7 linked regions of the Cricetulus griseus genome follow. The protein of the gene in region 2 interacts with the protein of the main gene of each other region in a pairwise test. Links are inferred from orthologs where the notes say so. Each region holds a gene or a part of one and is shown on either strand. Other genes may lie near its edges. The genes, in order: Rad23a, Trip6, Gse1, Hoxa9, Frs3, Nck2 and Oip5.

The links.
Region 1: the proteins of Trip6 (region 2) and Rad23a interact in binary tests that used the Homo sapiens proteins (3 or more experiments, as listed by UniProt). The two-hybrid records come from large-scale screens. The link is inferred for Cricetulus griseus from reciprocal best matches to the Homo sapiens genes TRIP6 and RAD23A.
Region 3: the proteins of Trip6 (region 2) and Gse1 interact in binary tests that used the Homo sapiens proteins (3 or more experiments, as listed by UniProt). The link is inferred for Cricetulus griseus from reciprocal best matches to the Homo sapiens genes TRIP6 and GSE1.
Region 4: the proteins of Trip6 (region 2) and Hoxa9 interact in binary tests that used the Homo sapiens proteins (3 or more experiments, as listed by UniProt). The two-hybrid records come from large-scale screens. The link is inferred for Cricetulus griseus from reciprocal best matches to the Homo sapiens genes TRIP6 and HOXA9.
Region 5: the proteins of Trip6 (region 2) and Frs3 interact in binary tests that used the Homo sapiens proteins (3 or more experiments, as listed by UniProt). The two-hybrid records come from large-scale screens. The link is inferred for Cricetulus griseus from reciprocal best matches to the Homo sapiens genes TRIP6 and FRS3.
Region 6: the proteins of Trip6 (region 2) and Nck2 interact in binary tests that used the Homo sapiens proteins (3 or more experiments, as listed by UniProt). The two-hybrid records come from large-scale screens. The link is inferred for Cricetulus griseus from reciprocal best matches to the Homo sapiens genes TRIP6 and NCK2.
Region 7: the proteins of Trip6 (region 2) and Oip5 interact in binary tests that used the Homo sapiens proteins (3 or more experiments, as listed by UniProt). The two-hybrid records come from large-scale screens. The link is inferred for Cricetulus griseus from reciprocal best matches to the Homo sapiens genes TRIP6 and OIP5.

What each region holds. Positions count from the first base shown.
Region 1 is NC_048596.1:159,529,258-159,533,529, reverse strand, and holds the start of Rad23a (UV excision repair protein RAD23 homolog A), read right to left. Parts: upstream 2,801-4,272; 5' UTR 1,400-2,800; coding exon 1,328-1,399; intron 1-1,327. UniProt on the Homo sapiens protein: Multiubiquitin chain receptor involved in modulation of proteasomal degradation. Binds to 'Lys-48'-linked polyubiquitin chains in a length-dependent manner and with a lower affinity to 'Lys-63'-linked polyubiquitin chains.
Region 2 is NC_048597.1:116,225,497-116,229,645, forward strand, and holds the start of Trip6 (thyroid receptor-interacting protein 6), read right to left. Parts: upstream 2,801-4,149; 5' UTR 2,641-2,800; coding exon 2,532-2,640; intron 2,283-2,531; coding exon 2,155-2,282; intron 2,042-2,154; coding exon 1,916-2,041; intron 1,663-1,915; coding exon 1,279-1,662; intron 808-1,278; coding exon 714-807; intron 616-713; coding exon 446-615; intron 1-445. Other genes in the region: Slc12a9 (solute carrier family 12 member 9), read right to left, coding at 3,489-4,149. UniProt on the Homo sapiens protein: Relays signals from the cell surface to the nucleus to weaken adherens junction and promote actin cytoskeleton reorganization and cell invasiveness. Involved in lysophosphatidic acid-induced cell adhesion and migration.
Region 3 is NC_048596.1:197,185,358-197,188,857, reverse strand, and holds part of Gse1 (genetic suppressor element 1), read right to left. Parts: intron 589-3,500; coding exon 416-588; intron 20-415; coding exon 1-19.
Region 4 is NC_048601.1:89,118,375-89,122,587, forward strand, and holds the start of Hoxa9 (homeobox protein Hox-A9), read left to right. Parts: upstream 1-1,413; 5' UTR 1,414-1,612; coding exon 1,613-2,189; intron 2,190-3,182; coding exon 3,183-3,421; 3' UTR 3,422-4,213. UniProt on the Homo sapiens protein: Sequence-specific transcription factor which is part of a developmental regulatory system that provides cells with specific positional identities on the anterior-posterior axis.
Region 5 is NW_023276806.1:255,491,768-255,496,057, forward strand, and holds the start of Frs3 (fibroblast growth factor receptor substrate 3), read right to left. Parts: upstream 2,801-4,290; 5' UTR 2,615-2,800; intron 1,112-2,614; 5' UTR 968-1,111; intron 1-967. UniProt on the Homo sapiens protein: Adapter protein that links FGF and NGF receptors to downstream signaling pathways. Involved in the activation of MAP kinases. Down-regulates ERK2 signaling by interfering with the phosphorylation and nuclear translocation of ERK2.
Region 6 is NW_023276807.1:5,069,783-5,073,851, reverse strand, and holds the start of Nck2 (cytoplasmic protein NCK2), read left to right. Parts: upstream 1-1,269; 5' UTR 1,270-1,405; exon of another isoform or gene 1,406-1,416; intron 1,417-2,174; exon of another isoform or gene 2,175-2,361; intron 2,362-4,069. UniProt on the Homo sapiens protein: Adapter protein which associates with tyrosine-phosphorylated growth factor receptors or their cellular substrates. Maintains low levels of EIF2S1 phosphorylation by promoting its dephosphorylation by PP1.
Region 7 is NC_048599.1:58,866,844-58,870,818, forward strand, and holds the start of Oip5 (protein Mis18-beta), read left to right. Parts: upstream 1-1,175; 5' UTR 1,176-1,258; coding exon 1,259-1,559; intron 1,560-1,793; coding exon 1,794-1,860; intron 1,861-3,975. Other genes in the region: Nusap1 (nucleolar and spindle-associated protein 1), read right to left, coding at 827-919. UniProt on the Homo sapiens protein: Required for recruitment of CENPA to centromeres and normal chromosome segregation during mitosis.

The sequences.
Region 1 (4,272 bases), on a different chromosome or scaffold from region 2:
CCAGGACTATATAGTGAAACTGTCTCAGATAAAATAAAGACACCTTTCCTGACCCTTTTACCTTAGGGGAAAAGCTTTGCTCTCAATCATAAGAGACTCCTACTCAATGTGGCCAGTCGACAGCAATCTATTACAGGCCAGACACTTATGCTGCTCGTTGTGTGTGTATGTGCGTGTGATTGTGGTGGCCTAATTGTTCTACAAGAGCTCCATCCCAAACCCTGTTTTACAACAGCCTGTGGAACAGAACAAAACAGAATTCAGTCACTGTTCTCATGGAGAAGACCTTGATGTGAGAAAAAAAGCAAACTTGTATTTCAGATGTCATGTTGTTGAGAAGGGAAACAGTAAAAAGGAAATGAAAGGGTATACCCACTGCTGGCCACAAAAAGTTAACTGTTCTGTAATTATTGAGGAAATCCTTTACCCCCTCCTTTTTTGAAATGGTCTTATTCTGCACTCCAGGCTGGCCTAACTACATAGCTCAGGCTGGTCTGGAACTTAAAACAATCCCCATCTTGGCCTCAGTGTTCAGGGATTATAGACATGACCACTATGCCTAGACTTCACTAAGGGTATAGCAGTGGCTTCATAGTATATTTGAGAAGATTCAGGGGAGGTGGCTCAAACAATAGTATCACCTACTTGGGAGGCTAAGGCAATACCTATCACTTGGGCCCAGAAATTCAAAGCAGCACTGGACAACAAAACAAGACCTCACTCTCAAAAAGCAAAAGCAAACAAAGTTCATGCAGCAAGTTTAGGCTGCTGTCTGTTACATAAAACAAAACAACAAAAAAAAAATTAATCCCGTCTCTTCCATTACTTGCTGTGACCATGGCAAACTTCCTTAACTCTGAGGTTGTCAAACGGGGAAAGTTAGGAGTCCCCAAAGGACAACACTATTTTGCAGATTCAGCAAGACGACACTGGCAAAGAATAAACGGCCAACAAACACGGACCACCAAAACTATTAAGATTAAGACCATTTATTATTATCAACATTGTTGTCACCAGTTGGCACCTCTTGGCCACTGACGCCAAACGTGGTCACCCGAGCGGCTTGCAGGCTGGGAATGCGGAGTCGGCAGCTGGCACAGGAGCGGGACTGGGGACTCGCCCTGGGGCCAACCCGGGAAGGGCGCCTGAGCCCCGGGGCAGGGCAGGGGCGATGGGAAGGGGGGTGCGAGGAGGTCGGGTCGCTGGGAAAGGGCAGCAGGGCCCGGCCGCAAGTCCTCCCCGCCCCTCCCGTTGGATCCGGGCCTCCCTGCCCCCACCCACCCCGACCGACAGCCGGTCGCTCCCGCCCCCGGGCTCCGGCCCGCACCGTCTCCTCAGGCTCCATGCGTATCTTGAAGGTCTGCTGCTGCAACGTTTTAAGCGTGACGGTGATGGCCATGGCGGGGCCGGAGCAATGCGGCAGCCCCAGGATCCTCGTACAACATGCAACTCACGCCGCCGCCATCTTAGCGCCCAGCTGTGCCGTAGGGAAAGCACTTCCGGGACAAGAGGGAAGCGCGCGCAAATCGTCAGTGTATATGACCCGCCTGTGACCCCCTCGACCTCTAGAGCATGCGCGGCAACGCTTCCTTACCTTAGACATGCGCAAACTCAGCTTTGAGCTTTTGCTGTGGGAACAGACATCATAGGGTCTGGGTGATGTCATGCCTAATAGTGATGTCATATGCCTGTAAAATGGCTTCTGAGCTACCCCCCTTCCACCTCCAAGTTTTTAAGGTATTTGTTATAGGATTATTGACCTATTTCGGACATGGCAAAAATTTAAAAAATCCCACAGAGCACTGTTAATTACTCAAGCCTAGAAGAAAGTGAAGTTACTATAAATCTCAAAGGTAAAAATGGTAACTTATGTGGCTCCATTTTCAAGACTATCATCACTTTTGGAATAAGCTTTGACTTCTAGTTCATGGGTCCCCTACCTCTTCATGGTCCTGCAATAACTATTAAACACCTCAAAAGTATTAATATGTGCAAGGCTCCTTTGTATTAAATACTTCATTCTTCCTCCCATAGACTTTCCTTGCTTGCACCTATTTTTCTGGGAGGTAAGGGGTATTACAAGCCTTAGGTTACCACCACATACTAAAAGGTAATGAAATGTCAGACTTGGGAAGCTGGGGCATCTTGAGGGTGACTTAAGAAGCTAAAGTTCTCAGTAAATACAACATAGGCATCAACACTTAATACTCACTACTTTGGAGCTTGCTTTGCCATATTTCTAGCCACACCAGTGACAAAGCACTTGCCAAAGGCCTGCCTCCCTCTGGTCACCTGAGCAAGGTTCTGCCAAGGGCGAATCAGTTTCCTTCTAATAACACAGGCCTCCTGCCCACCTTCCAACCTACTCAGTGGAGCTTAAAATGGAAACCTTGAGACCCCATCAGTCACCCGAATCCCATTTTCTTTTTTTTCCTGTGGTAGGGCATGCCAGGTAAGCCATCTCCAACGGAACACAACCCAATCTTTAAACCAATCCCTTTTCTATCAGCTTAGTCCTAGAAATATTGGCCGCTGGGTTAAGCCACTCACTATCTTTGACTTTAGTTCTTTGACTATAAAATGAGCTACCAGCATTTACTCCACTAATGTGAGGTTTGAATTTGCCCAACTATCTTATGTAGTAGTTTCAGAAAGGAAACCAACAATAGATGGTTAAGATTAAGGTTCAAATATCCGCCCCAGTAGTCAGCACCAGGCTGTCAATCACATGTCTGTTGCCAGGACAAGGGAATTACTACAGGGAGACCTGGCATCAAAACCTGACAGCTGCGTTCCTACTTAAGATTACAGGATACATATCATATGCAGCCATGTCACTTTGTTGGACTCCGCCAACTCCAATAGCTCAAACATGAGCCACCAGCACCTCAAAAGGCCACCTTTGATTCCCTGACGTAATCCTCCCAGAGAAGGAGACACGATAGGGAAGACACAAAACTTAATTTAATAGAAATTTTGTTTGTAGTTCTTACACTCTCAGTGTGAGCTGTGCTAGAACTGGCTGCCCCACAAGTGGCCCAGTCCTGGGGGCAAGGGAGAACGGGGATGAGAAGACCCCCATTCTTCCTCAGTGCTGGGGGAGGGATACACCACCCCCTTCTCCTGCACTCCTCTGAGATCCAAGAAGGAGAGCAGATGAAATCTCAAGCCTAGGACTTTTCCTCCACACCCGTTCCTGAAGTTGGGAGGGTTGTGACCAGGGGTTGGATAGAGAAAAGGGACATAGGGAAAGATGTTGATTCAAAATGAGAAGCCAGGAGGTTGAGGGCTAAAGGAGAATTAAGACAAACACCAGTAAAAAAAGAAAAAAATGGGAGGGGGGAGGTTGGGGGGAGGCAGGGAAACAAAATCAGAATTCACCCCAGATCTGAACCTGCCTGGAAAAAACTGAAAAGTTCCTGAGTCTCATAGAGACATTATTGGGAGCAGCCAGCTCTGCAGTGGGGTGTTCAGGCCTCAGTCCAGCCCTGGAGGCAGGTGGTATGGCCTCTACAGCTCATCCTTGGTCTGGCCAGGGGTAGTATCCTCCTCATCTTCCTCCTTCTCATCCTCATCTTCTTCATCTTCATCTCTGTCATCCTCATCCTCTTTGTCCTCAGCCTCTTCCTCCTCTTTACGCTTCTTGTCTTCTTCTTCTTCCTTCAGCCTCTGCTCCTCATCCTGCTTGTCCTTCATCTGCTTTTCTGAAGCCTGTGGCACAGACACCTTTTAGTACCTGGCTTTTGCCTGCCTGCCTGTTCTCCCAGTTGACCCCCAGTGAAGCAGGAACCCAGCTCACCTTGGTGACACCCCATGTCTCATTGCCAAACTCCTCTGCATAGGCTTCATCATTGGTGATGAGAAAGTTGTCAAAGATTGTGCCAGACTTGACCTGGGGAAGAATGGAAAGACATATGGTCAGCAGTAACTTCTGACAGCCCTGGCTCTGGACAGGACTCTACTTCCACCCTGTAGGGCAGCAGGTGTGGTGGCAGGACATGCCTTTAACCCCAGCACTGAGGAAGCAGACCACTTGTGGGGTTCTAAGCCAGCCAGTGTTACACAGTGAAACTCTTGTCAAAACTTTTTTTAAAAAGGGAGGGAGGGACAGGTATGTTGATGCAGTGGGAAGGCAAGAAGGGAATCCCAGGCCAGACCTGGATATATGGTGAATTCCAAGACAGCCAAGGACACATACCAAGACCACCCTGCCTCAAAACTCTTAAAAGGAAAAAAAAAAAAGATGTAACACCATTCAAAAGCCATGCTTTC
Region 2 (4,149 bases):
CCAAAACTACAAACAGGCAATCAAAGAAACAAAACCCAAAATGTTCTTTTGGTTGATGGACCAAATGATCTCTGGAAACATGTGCCCTGGGTTGACTTTAGAGCCTGTCCTGGAACTAGCTCTTGTAGATCAGGCTGGTCTCGAACTCACAGAGATCTGCCTGCCTCTGCCTCCCAAGTGCTGGGTTTAAAGGCATATGCTACCACTGCCTGGACAAACCTGCTTTGTAGCTAAAACTGACCTCAAACTCCTAATTGTCTCTCCTGCAGATAGCCACCACGTGGAGCTCCTTCCTTCTTCTGTTTCTGCTTGAGTTCCCAGCTTCAAGCCCCCTCCATCATCTGCCCCATCTGACTAAGTATCTGGCCCTCTCTTAGATGGGCAGGAACCCGCCTACCCATCTTGATACTTAGTTTAGCCCTCTTTCCCCCAGCCCAACACTCACCACGTAGCAGCTCTCACAATATGCCCTCCTCTCCACAGCATAGAAGTGCTGGCCCCGGAGCTGGGCCCGACAGGTAGAACACACAAAACAACCAACATGGAAGACACGGTCCAGGGCCACAACCCCAGCTCCATCGCCAACCACATCTTCGCCACAGCCACCACACCGACCTGAGGATAGAGAGCAATGAGCATCAGTCTGTACATATCCATGTCACCAGAGCCACCATCTCCTCCCTCTGCCCACCCTACCCACCAGGTCAGCTCACCAAAGTACTCCCCACTGGGCGGGTGGCTCATGTCATGCACCAATTTCTTGGTCAGTCTCTCTAGCTCTTCTTCCGGAGGTTGGCTTAAAGGGACCTACAGTGAGAATCAGGGCTTTGTGGTACTACCTACAGTCTCTGATACCATGAATAATCTGTAAGGTCAGAACCCTGAAACTCATCTGAGAACATCTCCCAGAAGCTAATGGGGGGGAGGTACCTAGCCCATTCCCTTTGGCCATTTTGACCCATGACCTCTAAGTACTCCAAAAACCAGGATTGATTTATTCATTTATTTATTGTTGGAACAGTGTCTCATATAGCCTAGGCTGGCCTGGAACTTGTTATGTAGCCAAAGATGACCTTAATCTACTGATCCACCTGCCTCTACCTCCACCATGCTTGTGGATAGAACCTTGGAACCCCTGCATAGTAAGCAAGCACTCTACCAACTGAACTGCCTCCCCAGCCCTAAACCAGTATCCTAAGTACTCCATGCCACCCAATCAATGCCCACTTACCTAAAATGACCACAAACCCAGTGTCCCCCATCCCCCACCCGGCTCACCTGGGGCCCATGCCCGCCTCCTCTTCCTCCTCCTGCAGGGCCATGTATCCCAGCGGCTTCCTCCTTTACCCCTGGTCCTGGCTCACGGTGGCTCCTATAGCCAGACCCCCAGACTTCACTACGGCCTGGCAAAGGAAAGTGGGGGCCTGGAAGAGGCCCAGAGGCCTGAGAGGCCCTCCGCCTTGGCAGTCCACAGCCTCTCACTGGTTGAGCCACCTTCACTTGTACAGGGAAAGCAGGACCAGCTGGAGTGCTGGCTGTGGCGTAGGAGGCTGGGGTAGGTCCACCATAAGGGGCTGCTGGGAGCATAGGGGTTGGAACAGCACCTCCACTGGGCTTCAGGGAGCCTGCGCGGTAAGCATGGGGTGGAGGGACCTCAAAAGCCTGGGGAGACACGCAATGGAGAAACAGTGAGTAAGGCCCTAACCAACATCCATGCATTCCAGGTGGGAACCACAGAGAAGCAATGATTTCTGACAAGTTCCCACGGGCAAGGCCCGGCAAGGAGGCAGCCCGTGCTTCCTTGAGCCAGCTGTTCATTAGTTGCAAAGTGTGGAAAGGATGGCTTCAGGCTGAAGAGCCACAGAAGGGAACTGGCTAGGGATGGGGACGCAGACACAGGACACAGGACACAGACCTGTCGGTCTGCCCGCCGAGGAGCATGACTGCGACCCCCGTCCAGATCAGCCAACATGCTAGTGAGTGAATCTATCTCAGCATCCAGGCTTCCAGGACGGATGACACCCCTGTCTGGCGGGAGCCCCTGGAGACAGAGCCAAAGCAGGGAGAACAAATATAGACCACAACCCTTGGGCTTCTGTCGCCTTCACCCTGAGACAGAGACCCACACATCCTCCTCTCATCTCCAATTCTCACCTGCAGACGCTGGGGTGCTCCGTGGGAGCCCACCCAAGTAGGCCCCCGATCGTCCGGTACCCCCGGAGGCTGATAACACTGTTCAGGTGGGAGGGGGCAAAAATTGACCCTGGGGTGGGGCTGGAGTGCTGTAAGGGAGAGAACAGAGGTGGGAATGGAGAATGGTACCTCGTGAAGGCTGCCCTGCTCGGGGTGCCTCTCCTTCACGCATCTGGGGCGTCTGGGAAGGGCTAGGAATCAGGGAAGGTTGCACAAGGGCAGGGGCCTCTGGCTTGGGGAGGAGACATCAGAAAGCAGACAGACAGGAGAGAAAAGGTGAAGGAGAGTGGCCAGTAGCTCCCCCGCCACTCCCGGGTGTGCGAGAGACAAACACTTACTTGCTCCGTGGGCCGGTGGCGGCCCCAGGGCGCCTCGGGGAAGCGCTCTTCCCTGGGGGACTCTGGAGGGCTCTGGCTGCTTCGGGGGAAGCCAGGTGGGCCCCGACATGGTCTGGGATGGTTACTCCACTCCAGACAGAGGTCACGGCCCCCACAAGCCCGGAGCCCTCCTGTCCCGTCCCACGCCCGGTTTGGGACTCCCGCAAAGAAACTTTTTCTGGCTTTTTTTTTCCCCCCTTCCTCCCCAATTTTGGGGCTGGCCCCGCCCCCTGACGTCACCACATTCCTAGAGAGGGTCACGTGGTCCCCCTAAACCCTAATCTGCAATCCCTCCCCTCTCTCTCTTTCTGTGGCCCCCTCCTGTTAAGAATGGGCCGCCCGCCTCGGGAGCCAAGCCACAGGGTGAGCTGCAAGGCGCTCAGAGGCTGCGGCCCAGCCCCTTCTACGATCCCTGCCCCAGGACTGCACGTGGCAGCCTCTCGGCCGGGACCTCAAAAGGCTTCTGGTCTCCACCCCCCTACAGATCTCTCCCTTCCCACCCACCTCCCGCTCACCTACCCACCAGCAGTGCTCCGCCAGCCCATAGTGTTTTGGTCTTTTATTAATGGTCAGTAGTTAGAAAAATAAAACAAAACACAAACATCACCACCCAAGGAAGTGGGAGAGGGAGGCGGTGCGTCTGTGGCCAGGATGGGGACACTGAGGTAGCCTAGAGTCGCAGAAGAGACCAGCCCCTCTGGTCAAGGCACCAATGAAGGAAGTGGAGGCAGGCCAAGGGCAGGGCCACAATGTCCTCCCAGGACTATGGGAACAGCCACCCAAAATTAGTGTCTACGTCCCCCCCATCCAAAGGAGACCATGGTCCCCTTAAAACATCATCCGAAGGGCAGAGTCCACTGGGGGATCCATTGTTCAGAATGGGCCTGGGCCCTCTATGCAACCCTGTCTCAACAGGCTTCAGAGATCAGTGCAGGTGACTGGAGTGACTCCATGAACAAGAAGGGTGGGGCCCAGGTCCCGGCTCAGGGTTTCCAGCAGCGCCAGGTATCTGGGGTAGCGGGCAGGATCGGCAGGCGGTCGAGGCAGGTACAGGAAGGTGAGGGCAGTAGCAGGTCCCTCCTCCCCATCCCTTCCTTCAGGCCCCCCAGGGCCTCCTGCCGCGCCTCGCCCCTGCTGGGCACGCACCAGGGCGTTGGCACTGCAAGCCAGAGCCTCGGCCTCTTCATCTCCTCGACCACCATTCACAAAGTCCCCTTCCTCTTCTTCATGCTCCCCAGTCTCGGCCCCTTCACCCCACACCACCTCTTGCACCTCTGCCCGGATCCTGAGTTGACTCAACAGAGCCCGCAGCCTGCCCTCCGCTGCCCCAGGAGCCTCCCTAGGCCCCAGGCACAGGAAGATCCGGAGCCGGGCACTGTGCCACGCAGGCACCATGCTTAAGATGGTAGCCATCTGCAACAGGAAAAGGCCACAGACGTCCACGTAGCCAGGCCCACCCCGGGGCCGCAGCAGGTTCAAGGGCCACACGTCCACGTGATGTAGCTGAGCGCTGCTGCTGGACCCCCGGCTTAGCCGCTCCGGGGGCAAAGCCCCACAAGCCCGGGCGAGAACCACATTC
Region 3 (3,500 bases), on a different chromosome or scaffold from region 2:
ATGCACAGGCCGCTGGAGGCTACGGGAGAAGAGGCGGGTGAGTAGAGGATTCACTTTGGTCTGGGAACATGTCACACTCCCCAACAGTGCAAGGTTGCTCCTGCGACTCCACCTCCCATCAGGCCCAGAATACACAGAAGGGCAGCTGCTTGGCCCTCAGACCTGTCTGGCCCTTAAAGTCCCCACCAGTGGACATAGCTGCTAGATGAGCTCTCTGTGCCCAGACCCAGAAGATGGGTTTAAATGTGGTTAGGAGAAGTGTTAAGTCTCAGCATGGAGTGGACCACAAGCACAGATGGGGCCAAGGACTTCAGGACAGAGCCAGCCAGAGGCTAAGAGCGGCACCCTCCATCAGCTGGTGTGAATTCCAAGCCTGCCTGGAGCCACCCCGCGTCTTCCCTAGCCTGGCACTTACTTGAGTGGTTGGAAACGGGAGTCTTGTACAACCGAGCTGGGGGAGAGGCCGAAGGGGTAGGGGGTGCTGAGCAGGTGGGAGGGAATGGTTGGGCCTGCTGCCTTCTCCTGGGCTAGAGGAGGCTCCACAAGCAGGCGCTCCCGACCACTGCTGCTGCCTCGTGAGACAGAGTCCTGTGGGAAGAAGACACAGCATTAGGGCATGGGGAGCCAGCCAGGTCCACAGAAAGGCCCCTGTTTAGCTCGTATTATAGAAACATCCTTCCTTTAATGTTTCTTCTTCTTTTTTTTTCTTTTTTTAGGTGTGTGTGGGGTTCACAGGGTTTCTCTGTGGCTTTGGAGGCTGTCCTGGAACTAGCTCTTGTAGAACAGACTGGTCTAGAACTCACAGAGATCCGCCTGCCTCTGCCTCCCAAGTGCTGGGATTAAAGGTGTGCACAACCACCGCCTGGCCCTCTAATGTTTTCTTTAAAAAAAAAAAAAAAAAAAAGAGGTATTTAGGGAGAAGGCATGGGGTAAGGAAAGTATGGCCTCCCATGAGCAGGTCTGCACTACTTCCCACAATCAATCCCACATGGGGTAGTCATAAGGTCACAGCACATATACCCTAGGAACTTGCAACTTAAGATAGCAGCTATTCTGGACACTGGGGACACTCTTTCATACTTTTAGGCTGTGGGACCCCAGGAGCGGCTCACAGTAATCCCTGGGCCTGGGGAGATCCAGCCTCACGTTGTCCTGTACACACTGGCTGATACTTGCTAAATCTGTGGGTGTGACTGTTAGGCACATAGTAGCCTAGCACAGTAACACCAACTGTCCCTGGAGACAGGCCTGCCAGCTCGTCCTTCAAGTCATCTAGCACTGTGAGGGTGATGGCCACTGAAGCCCATGTAAAGCAACAAGGGGGGAGGTTACTGTTGTGTTACCAGCTAAGCCTCTGTGTGTGAACTGAGGGGGCAGGTTACCATAGCACCTTCTGGCTCCATTCTCACAGAGCCTAACACAAGCCCTCCTGCTCCCCACAGACAGACAGCCACGATTAATTGAGGAAGACAGGCTGCTGATTGAATTTTTAATGAGCAGCAACATCTGTTTCCTTCCCAGAGTATAGCAGCAGGCTGTCTTGGTTCCCGGTGGGGTCCTCACGGGTTCATGACCTCTGACCTGCCCTTCTCAGGAGGGGCATTCACACAGTAACCATAAAGGTGGGGGGCACTTATCCCACCCACACCAGGACAAACAAGGAGACTAGAAGAATGGCCATCAGGCTCTGACCAGGGCCTGGCTGAACTTGAGCCAGACATCAGGGAAATAGGTCAGCTGGGAGCTAGGGTGATGCGTGGGTGATGGAGGAAGGAAAAGACCAGGCTTGGTGGCCGTCCCAAGGCATCGGATGCCCGGCTGTGGAAAAGACAAGACACATCTGTAGCGCTGCTTGACGCAGCTGCATCCATGAAAGGCATCAGCTAGGGGAGGAGGGAACTGTCATTCTCCAGTGATTAGAGCAAGGTCTCCACAGTTGGGCAAGTGGGAGATGCCTGTTAGCTTCAAAATAGACCGTTTTTCATTTCATCTCTCCTCATGCGGCTTCCACTGCCTGGTCACCCCCTGAGCAGGGCCCCAGAGCCACCACCCCCTTGACTTCCAACAGTGGATACAGCCTCCAGAGGCTCCCAGTGACTCATGGCCACACTGCAGGGAGAGCCGCATCCCCGCCCTCCTGGAAAGGATTAAGCTCTCTGCTGAGCTCTAAGCATCATCTGCTCATTCTGTCGCCCTCCCTGGTGGCACACAGGTCTCATTAACTGCAGTGTGAACTGCTGGAGCGGAGCCATCACGGCCCTTCTCTGGGTTACTAAATGTTTCTGAGGTGGTAAGGACCCTCTGAGGACAGTGACAAGCTCCAGGCAGAGGAGTCATGAGGCAGAGGCACAGGGACAGGGGACATGCAGGCACACATGAGGTGTCTTGGACCTGGGCCAAGGGCTCCTCCAATCAGTGGAGGCTCCAGGCTCAAGGCAGGAGCAGGAAGTGGCCTCCGACAAGCTTCTCTCAGGAGTGGACCCAGAGCCAGCTAGCCACCAGGCAAGTCGGCCGCCCAGGGAAGGGAAGCTGTATGGAGGGTAACATCAGCCGACTCACTGTCTGAGGTCAAGGCTGAGCTCTGGGAGGAGTCCACAGACAGGGGATCATGGTGACCTATCCTAAATCAGGATAGGATGGTTCTAGGCTGCTCGGAGCCAAGCTGAAATTCAGGGACAGACTGACAGACAGGCTTCCTTCGGTAAGTGCTATTCCAGCCACAGGAGGAAGGTGCCAAAGCTGGCCCCCAAGCTTCTTTCAGGAGTCTGCTGGATGCTGGAAGGGGTGGGGTGGGGTGGGGGGGTGTACTTTACTGGGGACCAGGGACACCCAGCAGACCTGCCCCAGCCCAGCTGGGAAAGAGATGCGCTCTCCCCCTCCCCCTCCATCTTTGCAGTTTAATTAGTACTTCCTAGCAGTACAATCCCTCTGGGAATAGGGCTGGAGAATCCAGGGAAAGCCACAGCTGACAGCGGTTCTTAATTAGCCAGGCCCCTCGGGCGCCAGGCGGGTGGGAGGCCCAGCAGAGTAAAGGGGAAGCTCCAGGCACTGGCTCCTCCCGTCCAGTTAGCTTCATATGTGGCCAGCTGGGAGGCTGCAGATGCACCCAAGACCCCTTTATGCTGGGATCAGGGACTATCAGTTGGCCTATACTCTCGTCCCTACTCCCCAAAAGCAGTGACAGCTATTGTCTACCCAGGGACCCAAGACTTAGACACCACCTTAGGCACTTTATGGTGTCATGGACTGTCCCTCATCTGTCTCAGCTTGGTGCCTCTGAGTAAATATGTCTTTGCTGACCCCTAAAGAAGTGATTACAGTCAAGGCCACCAGAGGACATACCATCTAAAAGTAAAGGAGCAGGCCTCAGCAGCCCCTTCCCCTCCCCTCATGCTCTGACTTCTTAAACCAAGAAACCTGTCTGTGGTACTCTGTCACAAGCCTGACATTAGGATTACCTTAATCCTAGCATCTTCCAGTACTGGGTGCACATCAAGCCC
Region 4 (4,213 bases), on a different chromosome or scaffold from region 2:
GGTCACACACACACACACACACACACACACACACACACACACACCACAATTAACAATAGTGTCTGTGGCCTTTTTACTTTCTGTCATCCCCCAAGATTCTAAGGGGTAAAAAATACCATTTTCCATTTGGCCAAGGGATATGATTAAAGTCAATGTCCCCTGCTCCTCCTGGGTTAATCTATAGCACTGGACTTGAGCTGTAGTCGCCTAGTTTTGGGGGTCTCTTTTGCTCTGTTTGGGGGATAACCAAGCAGGGGTGCTGGCGGTTTAGGAAGGAAGGGAAATGGGGGAAAGAGGACTGGAAGGAAGGGATGTGGGATGGAAGAGAAAGAGAGGAGAGGAGGGGAGGGGAGGACCCCAGAACGGCTCACACTGGGCCCTCGGAGGGCCACCATACAAGCTGGTGCCTCTTTTAGGCTAGGTTGCCCTTTAGCAGGACAAACTCTCCTGGTGCAGATATTTTTTTCCCCAGCTCGAACCTGGGGAGAGGGCTTACAAATGATGGAGCTGAGAACAGGGTCGCTGGCTGAGGAATCGAATTCGCTGAACCGCCTGTGCTCAAAGTCGTGGGCCAGAGCCCAGGCGATGTTTGTGACACAATTAGGTCCTCAAACCCTTGAGGGCAGCTGGAAGTTCCCTCCTTGGTGGTTCCACCGTGGAGCCTTCCATTGTGGAGCAAGGACTATGTGGGTGCTGTGCGGGCGCCTGGCTGGCTTTATAGTCTATCCAGGCTCGGTAGCCCACTCTAGGTGGTTGTACCATCGATGGATGGTGTGTCAGCAGGGGAGGTAGCCACGCTGTTTGAGGTGGAAAGAGCCTTGTATTTGACTTTTTCAAGGCAGGCCTGGGGGCAAACTTGCATCTCTGAAGACCGAAAGGATTATTTACAGGGTGCTCACCAACCAAACACAACAGTCTAATTTAACCTTTCCAAGTCCTCATAAATTTTTACAGGGAGCTGCAGCGAGGCAAACGAATCCTTTGGTTGTTCCTGACTTCCCACCAGCCGGTGTGGCTTCCGAAACAATAACTCCTTATGAAATATCATAAATATAGATTTAAATACAGTAGAGTGAGAATGCGATTTGGCTGCTTTTTTATGGCTTCAATTATTGTCTAATTTTATGTGAGGGGCTCTGCTGGCCGCACTCGCACGCGGGACCCGCGCCTTCCTGATGGCGTGATTAATTGTGATATAAAATAGTCCGCTTAAGATGTGTGTGGGTCTGGTGTGTGTGTGTGTGTGTAGAGGGGGTGGCAAGGAAGAGTACGGAGGCAAGGCCAGATTTGATCTTTTAATCTTCGTTGGCCACAATTAAAACAAACCAGATCGTGGAGCGGCGCGATCCCTTTGCATAAAAACATATGGCTTTTGCTATAAAAATTATGACTGCAAAACACCGGGCCATTAATAGCGTGCGGAGTGATTTACGCGTTATTGTTCTGCTGGGCGGACACGTGACGCGCGTGGCCAATGGGGGCGCAGGCGCCGGCAACTTATTAGGTGACTGTACTTCACCCCCCCCCCTGGTGCCACCAAGTTGTTACATGAAATCTGCAGTTTCATAATTTCGGCGGGTCGGGTTGGGCCGGCCAGGCGCGGGCTACTGCGATGGCCACCACCGGGGCCCTGGGCAACTACTATGTGGACTCCTTCCTGCTGGGCACCGATGCTGCTGACGAGCTGGGCGCTGGACGCTATGCGCCAGGGGCCCTGGGCCAACCCCCAAGGCAGGCAGCAGCGCTGGCCGAACACCCCGACTTTAGCCCTTGCAGCTTCCAGTCCAAGACGGCGGTGTTCGGTGCCTCGTGGAACCCGGTGCACGCGGCGGGCGCCAATGCGGTGCCGGCGGCCGTGTATCACCACCACCACCACCCCTACGTGCACCCCCAGGCGCCCGTGGCGGCGGCAGCGCCGGACGGCAGGTACATGCGCTCCTGGCTGGAGCCCACGCCCGGTGCGCTCTCCTTCGCGGGCTTGCCCTCCAGCCGGCCTTATGGCATTAAACCTGAACCGCTGTCGGCCAGAAGGGGTGACTGTCCCACGCTTGACACTCACACTTTGTCCCTGACTGACTATGCTTGTGGTTCTCCTCCAGTTGATAGAGAAAAGCAACCCAGCGAAGGCGCCTTCTCCGAAAACAATGCCGAGAATGAGAGCGGCGGAGACAAGCCCCCCATCGACCCCAGTAAGTGTCTCCTTCCTGCAAGCCGGCCGCTGCCTCCACGCCGGCTACCAGGATCTACCAGGATCTATATCCACTTTCTCTCGAGCCTGCCTTCGTCCTCGATGGGAGCCTCTGGATCTGGGGTCGAGAACTAGAAATTGGTGTTTGGAACACCTCAGATAGGGGCCCCAAGTCCAGAGAAGTGTGTGGAGCAGGCCGGGCCGGCTGGGGGAAGGGGAGGAGAACGGTGCAGCAAGAGGGGGCGGGGCGGGCGCAGCGAATAGAGCCGAGACCCGCCGCCCCTCTCCTAAACTATCCAGGCCCAAGACAGACAGACTTTGGGCGGTTCTTCGAAAGCAGTGCAGAGAAGTCTTTTGTGCGGCTAGATTGTTGACGAACTGCGGCAGCTAAGTCAGCTGGGCAACCTGACCCGGGACGCTTGGGGAGACCTCCGATTCCCTCTACTTCTTGCTTTCGGCCGGTGGCTGCATAAATCCTGCCCAAGATGAGGCTGAGGGCTGTGGAACCACTAGGGCCCCTTTGCCAGATTTATTCAAATAAAGTGGAGACGTGATCAAAGGCCTTGGGGCACCCTGCCTCCCGCCTGGCTCCCACGGCCTTCCCTTCCCGGGAAGGTCAAATAGAGTGGGGACAGTTGCAGAGAAGCCGGGGAAGGGGAGACAGCGATGAGAGAGAATTCTTGTTACTCTTGTCACACCGATACAGGGCAGCTTGCTCTTTGCTTTGCTGGCAAAAAGAATATGGCTTCTAAATTTCACTCTTTCACAATGTGCAGACCGTAGAAGGAAGCAGAGCAGGGGACCGGAGAAAGGAGGGTGGAGATGAGAGGGGAGCTGTAAGTGACCCTCCGAGGGTCTGTCTGCCAGGGCTTCATAGTGTTTTCTCTAACAAATTCAGCGGCGTCCTGCAGTTCGGCCAGAGACCCCCAAGAGGCACCTTCACACCCATCCAGGACGCTTCTCCTTCTAAACCCAGTGTCTCTCTCCCCCGCAGATAATCCGGCTGCCAACTGGCTTCATGCTCGCTCCACGCGGAAGAAGCGCTGCCCCTATACAAAACATCAGACGCTGGAACTGGAGAAAGAGTTTCTGTTCAACATGTACCTCACACGGGACCGCAGGTACGAGGTGGCCCGGCTGCTCAACCTCACCGAGAGGCAGGTCAAGATCTGGTTCCAGAACCGCAGGATGAAAATGAAGAAGATCAACAAGGACCGAGCAAAAGACGAGTGAGCCGCCGCCGGTCAGGGCTCATTTAGAAAAGAGCAAGCTAAAAAGAAAAAGAAAGGACTGTCTGTCCCCTTCTCCCTCCTCTCCCCCAACCCCAGCCTCCACTCCCCGCCCAAAGAGGCTCTAAACCCCGGGCCTCATCTCCGCCTGGCATTCCCTGCTCAGGCTGGCTCCTAGGCCTGCGGCTTTATTGGAGGAGGTATTGTAAGCTTTCCATTTTCTATAAGACACCCACACAAGGGAGGGCATTAGCGCTGATGGCTGTATGTGCTTGCTTGTATATATATTTAAAAAAAAATCTACCTGCTTCTGACTTAAAGCAAAAGGGAAAAAAACTACCTTTTTATATACAATGCACAACTGTTGATGGGCTGTATAGTTTTTAGTCTCTGTAGTTAATTTAATTTGCTCTTCGTGTGGCAGATCACTCTGCTAAAATACTTGAACACTGTGTTTTATTGTGGTAATTATGTTTTGTGACTCAAACTTCTGTGCTGGGTGAGGCACCCATTGTGATTGTGGAAGCTAGAATTCAATTTGAACTCAGGTTGTTTATGGGGGGGGGTGGGAGAGGCGGTTGCATAGAGTATAGCTCTGTAGTGAAAAACTGTGTAACTAGACTGTCAACCTAACATTGTAAACTAGCTGTAAGGATTTCCCCGTGAAATCACATGTGGAAAGAAAAGGGAGGTAGTTCTCCAAGATGCATAGATTCATGATTTCTCTACTTTTGAAATGTGGGCGTCTTCATCTTTCCATGTTCTAGGCTCCAGTCTTGTCCAGTGTATATAGCAT
Region 5 (4,290 bases), on a different chromosome or scaffold from region 2:
GCCACTTGGTGTCCCAGATACCGTCTTGTTGCTTTCTCTTTTCCTCAGCTTTTACCTTACCCATTCCACTCTATCCATGTTCTGACTTTTCTTTCATGCCCCACCCCAATTTCCACTGGAAACCAGTAATTCTGATGTTCTCCTCAAGTAAACTGTTGCTACACTGTGATCATAAAACACAATGAGCTATGCCGGGTGGTGGTGGTATGCACCCTTAATCCCAGCACTCAGAGGCAGAGGCAGGCAGATCTCTGTGAGTTCAAAGCCAGCCTGGTCTACACAGTGAGTTCCAGGACAGCCAGGGCTGTTACACAGAGAAAGACTGTGTGGGGAGGGCGGGGGGCGATAAACAAACCAATAAACTAAAACAACCCCACACTTAATGACTGAACACTGGAACTCACAGAGCTCTTGTCTCCATTTTTCAAGGGCTGGAGTAAAAGTGCATACTACCAGGTTGGGCTCAAACTAGCATGATTAAAAAAAAAAAAACATTGATTAGGTATTTCTTCACTGAGAAAAAAATTCTGGGGCTCAGCATGTAGCTCAGTGGTAGACTTTCATGTGAGGCACCAGATTCAACCACCAGCACTCTAAAATAACTACCAGAATGCTTAGTTTTCTTCCCAAAGGCCAAAGAACAGATAAAAGACCTTGGCTGGCTTTTCCCTTCAGGATACTTGTAATTGGATGACATGTCACAACAGACAGGTTTCTGCCTTAATATGGAGAGGAGACCTCGTAGACCTTAGTGACCTAAGGGAACAAGAAACACATGGACAGAGCCCAAACAAGTTACTACCACTGAGCTACACTCCTAGACTCAGCCAGCAAAAAACCATGAGGCAGCAGATTATCCCAGAACTGCTGCTGCTGTGGTAGGACCTTGAACAATCCAGCGACCTGTTCCCTACAATTCTCCCAAGTTAAGAAATCTACAAAACTGACACCTAGCCACAGTTCTTACCTCACCCAGGCCATTGGGGAGCTGACCATGGGAGGGGCATGGGAAAGAATTCCCACTTTACTCCCCCAGTCTTTGGTGGGGTGACATGGCAAAGAGTCTGCAGAGACGTCACCTGGATCCCTGTGGGTCACACCTGAGGCTCACCTAGCACAGGAGACAGAGATCACACATTAATGGAAACCTATCCTCAGCCCCTAACTCTCCATGAGACAGACTTGTTAGCAGTGCATCCCACCTGGATTTATCTGGCCTAGGTCCTAACAGAAAGGCCAGTGAACACAATCTCTGGTAAAGGTCTACAAATTCTCAGTCCCGGGAGGAACTCCCTAGGTCCAACGGCAGTGAACTCCGATAGCCCAGCACCTTTAGTTCACAGCCATCATTGGAGTGCCCTCTGGGACAGGTGCAGCTCAGACCATCACCTGACCCTTCTCTCTCAGAACAACAATATTAACAAATGCTAGTGCAGCAAGAGCACGAGTTTGAGCCTCTGAAAACCAACATTCACCCGCAGGAATGTTTTCCTGCTATGACATAGACATATCTGGGTGGGGGCTTGTCACTCCCCCCCCAAGACCTCTAACTCTTGTCCCCCGCCCCTCTTTAGGAAACATCTGTCAACCATGGGAGTTCTAGCTGAAGTAACTTCTAGAAATAGGTATTAATAAGGCACTGCCCATTTGAAAGCTAGACAGGCTTTCTGCTCCTAGTGCCAGGAAGGCCAGTTACAACAAGAGGCAAAGTTTCAGATTGAGCCCTAGGTAGATGAATTGACAAACCAGGACTCCGAAGAAAACTCTTGAAATCCCTCCTTCCTGTTCCAGGAAAACAGTACTTCCCGGTGTGTCTCCCCCCCCCCCCCACCAGCCCTGCACCCTTGCACAACACTTAGGTAAAAGAATCCCCACACTCTTGGTCTGGCTTTGGAAGGAGGTGTGTGCAGGCTAAAGGCGGTACTGAAAAGACCATAGGGCTTAAACTGTCAACAGGGTGTTGGGAAGGGATGGGAAGCCAAGTACACTGGATGCAAGATGGGGGAGGGCTTGTACCTTTCCGATACCCCTCCTTTTCTTTGAGATATCAAACACATTATTAGATAATCCAGAGTGGGATTACACTGCGTGGGGTGGGGGAGGCTCTGGTCTGAGGTAGTTAGATTTGGGGACAGACACTAGATGGAAGTATGAGGACTGAAAATGTATACGAAGATGGGTGAGGATTCTGGATTCCGGCATGGAGCAAAAAGAATGAAAAGGTTGAGGCATTTCAGGATGGTGACTGCGGAAGCCTTTGGGCCACTGAGGGGAGAACGAGATGTGTCTGTGGGTCTGGAAAAGTGAGTGAGGGGGTTCTGCGGGATCCCGGAGACCCGAAGGTGTAACCGGGGAGAGGAGAGAGGGGAGAGGGGAGAGAGGAGAGGTGGGGTCTGGGGAGCGAGAGGCAGAACTGGTTACAGGTTTTCTAGATACCCAGACGGAATGCGAAGGTCGCGGCCGCCCTCCGAGACCGCATCCCCGCCCCCAGCCCCCGGGTCCGCCGCTAGCCCGCCCGTTTGGGGCTTTCTAGGGTAGGAGCGGAGACTGCGGCGCGGCACGACACGGCCTCGGAAAAGTCGCCTGGTCCCCGCCCCGCCGCACCCCGACTCACATCGCCCCGCGGCCCGGGCGGCGCCGGGCCCCGCTCCCGGGTCCCGAAGCAGCAGCCGCCGCCGCCCGCCCGCAGCTAAGGCCTCCCCGCCCCGCCCCGCTCCGGTCCCGCGGGGTCGGAGGTCACCGGCTGCACCAACGAGACGCTGCGGGCAGGCCGACCCGGGCGGGGGCCACCGGCAGGCAGCCTAGAAGGTCCCTTTGGAGGACTTTGCAGTCGGGGGCAGAGAGCATGCGCAGACGCCAGAGGGCGCTCGGGGCCGGAGCCTGGGAACCCATAGGGGCGTGGCCTGGCTTGAGGCGCCGGGTGGGGCGGGGAACGTAGGTATCAGCGATCTCTCAAGCAGAAGAGAATCACCAAAGGCAGCAGAGCGGGTCGGCCACTGAAGCAGGACAGGACTCGAAATCCAGGAGGGAAAGTGGCGAGGGACCACTGGGGACAGAGGGGGGGAGCTGCAGAGGACCGCAGGGGGCGGGGCTGAAGCCGGGGGCCGGCCGAGGGGCTGCAGACGCCTCGCGGTTCGGCGGTGGAGCGTCGCGTCGCTAAGTTTATGGATGCCTGCCTGCGCCCTCCCCGTCCTGAGACCCACGAGCGCGATCCTCAGTCTGCAGCACCCTTTGGTCGGGGCCACCGGGGGCGTAGACCGACGGGGGGGTCTCTCCAGAGAGAGAGACTGGGCCACGCTGAGACCCCTGCGGAGAGTTTGAGTCCCTACTCTTAGACCAGCAGGTAGACAGGGACCCCAAGCGAACTTGGTAAGCACACGTTGACCCCCGCTCAGCGGGTGGACCTGCAAAGTCCTAGGAAAAGTTTGGGGCTCTGCCGAGAGGCCACTTAATGAAAACGTACATTCTCCTCCCTTTCCCTCTGGTTCAGGGACACCTTCCCACGTCCACTGCCCTCCAGTCCCTAGGGCCTCTGGGGCTCATCCTTCCAAGAAGAGGTGTTGTTTGGGGAGGTTGAACCCTGAGCTTGGTTGCATCTGGGGTGAGGGGGCGGAGCCAGTGTTTGATCTGTTCTTACCTGAAAGGAGAGAGGAGGGGACTTACAGGGGGTGAAGTAGGTCTCTCTCTCTCTCCTCTCTCTCTCTCTCTCCTCTCTCTCCCACTCCTTTTCGGGACAGAGTTTCTTTGTGTAGCTTTGGAGCCTATCCTGGCACTCGCTCTGGAGACCAGGCTGGCCTCGAACTCACAGAGATCCGCCTGCCTCTGCCTCCCGAGTGCTGGGATTAAAGACATGCGCCACCAACGTCCGTCCCTAGGTTGCTCTTGAGATGGGGGATATGAAGGATGAAGGGTAGAGGTCTGAATTCTGATTGTTATTTTGTGTGCCAGACAGTTCCATGCAAACTAGAACTAATCAGGAAGAGGGTACAAGTCCCCTTCTGGGGCCCCAGAAACGCACCCCCCCTCCCTTGTTTCGTGGAGCTGAAACAGTGCTGCTAAGGGGTGTGGCTGTTCCCACCCCTGAGTGTGGACAGTCCATCCTGGCCACCTTCCACAGGAAACCTGACCTGAGGGACTAACAGGAATTCCGGAAGCAGGTGGGTGTGGAGTCAGGAAGGAGGGAGGGGTGGCACTGGATATTTGAAGGGGAGCTGGGGGGGGTGGTACTTGGAGTTGGGAGGTGCTCTGATGGTTATAAACAACTGCAGAACACTCAAAAGCCTGGTGATT
Region 6 (4,069 bases), on a different chromosome or scaffold from region 2:
TTTGTGTTCCCAATATCCACGTGAATGCCAGGTGGATATGCAACCCTCAGGAAGTAGAGGCAGGGGATTCCCCCAGCAGTCTGGTTAGTTGCAGTAGCCAAATCAGAGAGCTATAGGTTCAAGTGAGAGTCATCAGGGAGAATACCAGACAAAAGCCATCTTGTCTCCATAAACACTAGCACACACATACATACAGAAAACATCCATCTCACAATGAAAACACCACACCCTTTTTGGGAATACTGTTGTCTGATGCTTGGAAGACAACTACTCACAGACAGAGACGGGCTGGCCAGAAAAGTAAGAATGGGAACGAAAGACCTTACAACAAGATGCTGGACTTCAGACAACAGCAAAAGTGTCACCTGTCTGCAGGAAAACTAGATGGGCTAGGGTTTGAGAAGGAGCTATTGAATTTAGATACAAGATGCCACTGGGGACCTGGGGACTTGCTGTAAAGAGACTCTCTCTCTCTCTCTCTCTCTCTCTCTCTCTCTCTCTCTCTATATATATATATATATATATATATATATATGCATTTGATTGGGGGCTTACTTATAATTTCAGAGACATAGTCCATTATCATTAAGGCAGGGAGCATGTCAGCAAGCAGGCAGGCATGCAGTGGAGAGACACACTGGGCCTGGCCTAGCTTTTGAAACCTCAAAGCCCACCCCCAGTGACACACCGCCACCCACAAGGACACACCTCCTAATCCAAATAGTTCACCAATTGGGGATTAACCATATGAGCCTATGGGAGCCATTCTTCTTCAAACCTCCCTAGGGATTTAATAGTAAGAGAAGCAGTCTGAGGCCACTATTCAAAGAAAAGGCTAAAAAAGCTGGGTCTGTATTGTCCTACCTTATTTAGAGTGAATGGATTTTAAATACGGTTAAACTATTGATTACCGTTCTGCTTTCCTTATTGTAAAGCTAGATATTAGCAGGATGAGGTCTGCACAAAAGAATGAAAGGAGATAGCATCTCCGACTGGAAGGGGATGTCGGATATGCTGATTTTGTACCTAATGCTTTTTGGTCGGGCTATGTGCCAGATACTTTACATGGGAAGCAGGCAAACATCTCACGTGATAAAGTTGAGAAAGGTTGTGAAAGACACGTGTAAGGTGACACAGTTCAGGAAGCCTACAATCGTGCTATGATTACAAAGCCAAGCTTCCTCAGGTTACCCATGGCTGGAAACTTCCTTTAGGGAGGGAGGCAGCTGACTGGCCACTTAGGGTGAATTGTTTCTGCCTTGATAAGGAGGAGCCAAGGGCCAGGGTAGAATCTCATTAACATAAATGCGAGCTACCCAACCAGAAACTGAATTCATTTGAATATTAAGGCTTCCTTTGGAGAACCATGAGAGAAGGAGCTTGGAGAAGAAACATCTGGATTCCGGTGTGTAAGGCGTATGTGTTCCTTCCTCTTGTTCTAGGGTTCTAGCTTTCTAAATTTGCTTACAGGTTAGCCACTACTCAAGGCTGGTTGAGCGAGGGCGCCTTCCCAGCCTTCTCCTGTGCTAAATGAGAAATCCCAGGCTCCATAGAGCTGGCCTGGGCGCCCGGGAGGCAGCGGAGGTCGGGTTTCCTCTCCTCCCCCTAGGAAGTGGTCCCGCCTGAGAGGATGGAGTAAAAAAAGTGTCTGGTTGGGAAAGTAAATAGATGCAAGGCAAATAAATAAAGAAAATGCCCACAAGCAATTACTGGGAGGAAGTGACATTTTTATGTAAGTCACTTTTCTGACGGACACCAGGCCAGCTTGGCCGAGAGTGCCGTGGGAATGCTTTCGGGGAGGGGGGGTGATGGGGTGGTCGCTGTAAGAATCCAAGGCACAGCGGGGGTGCGGAGACCACCCGGTGGGACTAGCGGGCTGGAAGTAGCACTGCATTCTTTCCTCGTTCCCCTGCCCGCCCCCCAACTCCGATCGAGAGCGGGTTGCTGCCTAAAGCCCGCAGGCGGCGCTTTTCCCGGGCCCGGCCGGGACTCCCAGGTGGGTCCCCCGCCCGGCGCGCGCCGAGCTGGGCCGGCCCCTGGGCGGCGTCACGACAGCCGGGGAGGAGCGCGGGCGGGCGGGGAGCGCGCGGAGGCGGGCGCTGCGCGGGAGGGTCGCCGCCGCGGATCGCAGGCCGGGGCGCGCGGCCGAGCGGGCGGCGGCGGCGGCGGCGGGGAGGGCTCGGCAACGGGCAGGGCTCGGGGCTCCCGGCCGGCGGGGTCCGCCCGGGCCGGCAGCGTCCGCCCGGCGGCGGGAGGAGGGAGCGGCGTAGACAAAGAGCGGCATTTGGGCGGGCGCAGCGCGGCCGCCGCCCCGGGACCCGCGCCTCTGCCCTCCGGCCTCGGCGTGCGGTGTATAGAGAGGTAAGGCGACGGGCGGGGGGCTGCAAACTTGGTTGGGTCGGTAGAGTTGGGAGAGAGGGGCCGGCGGGCAGGGGCCGCCCGGGAAGGAGCAGGGAGCGCGTCCCCCCTGCGCGCCCCGCTGGTGCCCTCGGCCCCGCCGCGGCCTGGGCGTCCCCGGGTACCCGCACCTCGGAAACACACCTTTCTGCGAGCCCTCGCCTTCCCCAGCCTTGGGCTGGCGTGGGGGTGGGGCGCCCTCCTCGGGCTGACACCGGGGACCAGGACCGAGAGCCCCCGGGAGCACAAGCAGCCCTGGCCTGCGGGCGGGCGGGCGTGGGACCGAGCCGTGGCCCGGTCGCCGGGCGCGCGTGCCTGGGAAGAATAGCCTGGGATCTAAGGGCCCCGGCGCTAGGAAGCTAGGGGCTGCGATGGCCGGGGAGAACTTACTGTATTTAGAACTATAAGTGATCCGGCACAAAGCTACTGTCACGTCTCATACAAGAGGTCCGTGCCTCGGTGCAGGGCGCTTTTATGCCAGGTTCCAGTCCGTGTGCCCTGCCCCTCATTCCCAAGGCTTAAACCTCCAGAGCCAAAGTTTCTCTCAGCCGCCTTGCCCCTTCGGTTTGTTCAGGGCGATTTAAGCAAGTGGTTTTTGCAAGAATTTGATGTGGGACTTTTAATGCCCCGACGGCACCTCCCTTTTGAGCACTGTTAGCTTGGCATTGTGTGGAGGGGTTTGATTTGCAAAACGCTGTAATTTATACACTGTAACGATTCTCCCGGAAGGTGTGCGCGGGACTCTGGGTGGTGGTTAATGGATAGCAGACGTGACTTACAGTAGTATTGTGAATAGCTTGGGGACACAGCTGGGCGCTAAATAGCGTGGGCCCTGCCACCCTAGCCTGTTCAGGTCGGCAGTTTGTCCCTTATTTACTTTTCCTTATTTTGCTAAGAGGTTTAAAGGCTAATCCTGCCAAGTTTGAGTCTGTGTCTGGGATGAACAGGTCCCAGTTTGGGTTGGAGGTGCCCAGGCCTGCTCCTTGGTTGACCCCAAATGAAACAGCCCATTGGCCAGTGGGCATGGCCTGGAGACTCCTTTGCTGCTCCTCACCCATTGCAGGCTTTTCTGCAGGGGTTTTGAGGAGGAATGAAAATAATTTTGCATGTGTTTCAAGCCTGGGTTTTGGGTATAGTTATCAACAGTGGTTTTCTAGTGTAAAGGTCACCACTTTATCAAAACATCGTGGGCACTCCCCTCCATTCACTTTCCAAGTGTTTATAGATACAGAGATTTAGAAACAGACATTCGTGTTTAATATAGCGAAGGCAGCCAGTGGACACAAGGAGAAAGTGCACTTCAGTTAGTTAAGGTTTTAGACCTTGGGGATTGTTCCTAAATGACCACAAGGGACAGTCCTACCTTAAACTTTCTCACATTCTAGTCGGTTAATGTAGTTTTGATGGAAGAAAGAAAGGTCCCAGTGGTCTGAGGCTAAAATTGAGAACTTTGTGCGGCCGTAAAACTTGGAGTTACAGCCCCACCACCTGCCTTGCTCTCAGCCTCTTAGATGTGCAGCGACTCCTGGGTGGGGAGTTGCTGAATGAGCCCTGGCTGCTTGAGAGTTGATCAGCCCACCTGTGGAGAGACTGGCCCCTTTAAAATGGGCAGAGCAGATACAAGGTGGTTTCCAGCTCCCCGTAGTCCGATTCCAGGCTCTCAGTTTTGCAT
Region 7 (3,975 bases), on a different chromosome or scaffold from region 2:
GCAGCCTTGTTTCCAATTTGAACTAATAAAAAAATAATCTCTTGGGGAAAAAAAGAAAAGCAAACAAAAAATCCACAAGATAGCAAATACCTGAGGGCCTAAGCTTTACTCATTAAAGTTGTGTAACTCAGAAACATTTCCAAGTACTCTTCATTGCCATTCAGACAGATTCGAGGAGCATCTATGGTCTCATTATTCTGTTTATATCACTTAAAAATATTTGTGATGACTGAATAGACATTTAGTGTAAATATCAGCTTGCTGTACAAATCTACGGGGTACACATGTGGGAAATCTCAACTCCAACATAGCAAGCCCCAGTCTCACAATGAATGACGTTTTCTCTGAACACCTTGCAAAAGTCCTAACCGGTTTTGAAAAAGAACACCATCACTATAGCGATCATACTATATCCCCATGGCTTGGCATCCAAATAAAGGCCCAAGAAGATTGTAGGTACTACTATCACAGTTTACTTAAAAGTAGTAATTTGGGAAATTTCCAGGAGCCAATTCAACTTTTTCTAATAACAGGCATTAGACATTACATTGATTATGTCTTATGGGTCTGTGTTTCCTTCTGGCAGCAGGAAACTATCATTAGAGTTTCTAGTAAGAGGCCTTTATGAGTTCCTGCCTCCAAATAAAATAACAGATATATCTTCTCTTTCGTTTAACAGATTCCAGCCAACGTGAGCCGAACCTACTCACCCAAAACCAGAGTCCCCCGGGGGTTCCCTCTCTGTCCCTTCGCCCCGTGACCCCCACACCCCTGGTCTCTTCTACCCCGCCGACCCAACTGCCCGCACCACCAGCCAGCACCGTACCCTCAGGTTAGCCCGGAGGCCCAGCCGTTTGGCTAAATTTTGCAGGTCGCTGTACTTGAAAGAGTCCAACTCCTCTGCAGAGGGGACGGTCATCGCGTTCTACAATCCCGGCGACACCCAGAAAAACAACCAGGCGACTCAAACAGCAGCGTTCAAAACTGGCGCCACCCAAGGCGTTGACAAGCCGACTTTTATATTCATTTTAAATGGAGGCTGCTGCACGTCCATTGGTTGAACGCCTCGGGGGTGGGGTTTTCCGATGCTGGCCAATAGAGCTGCTGAAGCGCGCAATAGCGCAAGCCTAACCAATGAATACGCGGCGCTCGACGGCTTGTGGGCGTGCCTTACGGGCATGTTGTCCAACGAGGATGCAGGAAACTTCGTTTCGGTGGAACCTGGCGCGAGCGTACAAAAAGAGGCGCCGGCTTCAGAATGATGGCTCGCTCGCGGCGCCTCCTCCCGTCCCCCGAGTCGCCGTGCTGCAGTGACTCTTGTGACACGCCTTCTGCTGCTACCTCCATGGAGTGGGACACTCAGGTGGTGTCAGGGTCTTCCCCTCTAGGTCCTCCGGAGACTGAGGTGGAGACGTCACCGGTCGACCTGCGGCTGCCTGCGTGGCTGGAACCGGAGAGGTGCGCCGTGTTCCACTGCGCGCATTGCCACGCGGTGCTCGCCGACACCGTGCATCTCGCCTGGGACCTGTCGAGGTCCCTCGGGACCGTGGCCTTCTCCAGTGAGTGAGGCGAGGGTTGGCGTCTGAGAAAGGGTAATCCCGACCTGTGGGATCGTAAACGAGCTGGGTGAGGGAGGCGTGGTTTTGTTTTCCGGAGCTGGGAATCAAACTTTGGACCGACCTCGCGTGAGCTAAGCTTGCGCTTTTGGATGAGCCCCACGCGTTTTGTTGACTTTTATGACCAGGATGAATCTGGTGGGCGGTTTTCCTATTCAAAACCCTTTTGTCTTTCAGGAGTCACGAACAATGTCGTTTTATTAGAGCCCTGTCTCGTTGGCATTGAAGGTTCTCTCAAATGCAGGTACGTGCGGAGAATTCCTGAGAAGGATCTATAGTTCCTTATTTAATGACACCGAGGACTATGTAGTTGTCGTAAACAAGAAAAAAAACTTTATTTTTGTTGTGACAAAAGTTTATTCTCTCCATACAATATATTTGGATGGTACATTTTTTATGCGTTTGAAACATGTCAACAAGGCATTAATGAAAGAAAAATTAGAGTTGGGTGTAGGTTTTAACATCTGAGGACTAAAACATCCTGTGAGATAACTAGGACTATTTAAATTTTAATTTAACTTGGAGTTTATATTACAAACCATAACAGAACTAATTCTGTAATAATCTCTGAAACTGGGGAAACACAATTGAATGTTTGGTGTTTCAGTACTACTAGTAATTTGCCTCTTCCCATATTTTCCCCATAGCAATAAAGTACTCAGCAAATTTGTGCTTATGAGGCCAAAACTAAGTTGTAACCATACCTCTATTCCACTTTGCCAAACTGAAAGACACATTCCTATTCTTATAGGAGTCCTTTCTCACCTGGTGGTTTATGCCTTTAATCTCAGTGCTTGGCAGGTGGTGTGTGTGTGTGTGTGTGTGTGTGTGTGTGTGTGTGTGTGTGTGTGTGTGTGTGTGTAGAGAGAGACAGGTGGATCTCTGTGAGTTCCAGGCCAGGCTGGTCTACACAGTGAGTTCCAGGACAGCCAGAGCTGTTACAACAGAGAAACTCTGTCTTGAAAAACCATAAATAAACAGTGTGTGTGTGTGTGTGTGTGTGTGTGTGTGTGTGTGTGTGTAAGTATGGTTGGGGGTCTTGGGGCTTGGCATATATATTGAGGTTCAAAGGCAACTTGAAGGAGTCTTTCTTTTCACCATGCTGGTCCCAAGAATTAATCTCAGTTCCTCAGGCTTGGCAACAAGTGCCTTTACCCCTTGAGTCATCTCACTGCTCCTGAAGTGACATTTTTAATATGTTTAGCTATGTAAAATATCTTAATTTCACAAAAAATAATGATTTTGCCTTGACTTTACAGTTCTACCTCTCCCTCCCAAGTGCTGGGTTCTCATATATGGAAACCTACACCAAATCTCTTTTTAAAAGCCTGGTAAGCCAGGTGGTGGTGGCACACACCTTTAATCCCAGTACTCGGGAAGCAGAGGCTGGTCTACAGAGTGAGTTCCAGGACAGCCTTCAAAGCTACAGAGAAACCCTGTCTCAAAAAAACAAATAAATAAGGCTGGGCATTGGTGTCGAACGCCTTTAATCCCAGCACTCGGGAGGCAGAGGCAGGTGGATCTGAGTTTGAGACCAGCCTGGTCTACAAGAGCTAGTTCGAGGACAGGCTCCAAAGCCATAGAGAAACCCTGTCTCAGAAAAAAACAAAAAACAAAACAAACAAACAAAAAAGAGTAGGGGAAAATATTCCACTTCACTGCCTGTTGCTATTATGACTTGTTGTCTTCCAGATTGATGGAATATTACAATGAATAGAAATTAAAATCTAGGGGCTGGAGTGATGGCTCAGTAGTTAAGAACACTGACTGTTCTTCCTGAGGTCCAGAGTTCAATTCCCGGCAACCACATAGTGGCTCACAAGCACCTTAAATGAGATCTGGTACCTTCTGCTGGCGAGCAAGCAGAAGACTGTATACATAATAAATAAAATCTTAAAAAAAAAATTAAAATCTAATTGACCTTGTTCTATATAATGAAATGGAGATACAATTTGTTTACATATTAGAAGTAAATGCCTTAAGTCCTCCAGTGTTCATGATCCAGGGCCCAACAAGCTATATTATGTTAACTCTATAGCATGGAGCAGAAAAACCCCAAACATCTTAAGGACAGTAGTAATTTTCTTTATAAGGTAGGGCGCCATGGACTGTACAAGTGATCGGAGGCAGTACAGAAATTAATTTTTGTCATAAATTATGACCTTTGTTTTTTTTTTTTTTTTAAGATTTTATTTATTATGTGTACAGTGTTCTGCCTGCATGTATCCCTGGAGGCCAGAGGAGGGCACCAGATCTCATTACAGATGGTTGTGAGCCATCATGTGGGTTCTGGGAATTGAACTCAGGACCTCTGGAAGAGCAGACAGTGCTCTTAACCTCTGAGCCTCTCTCCAGCCCA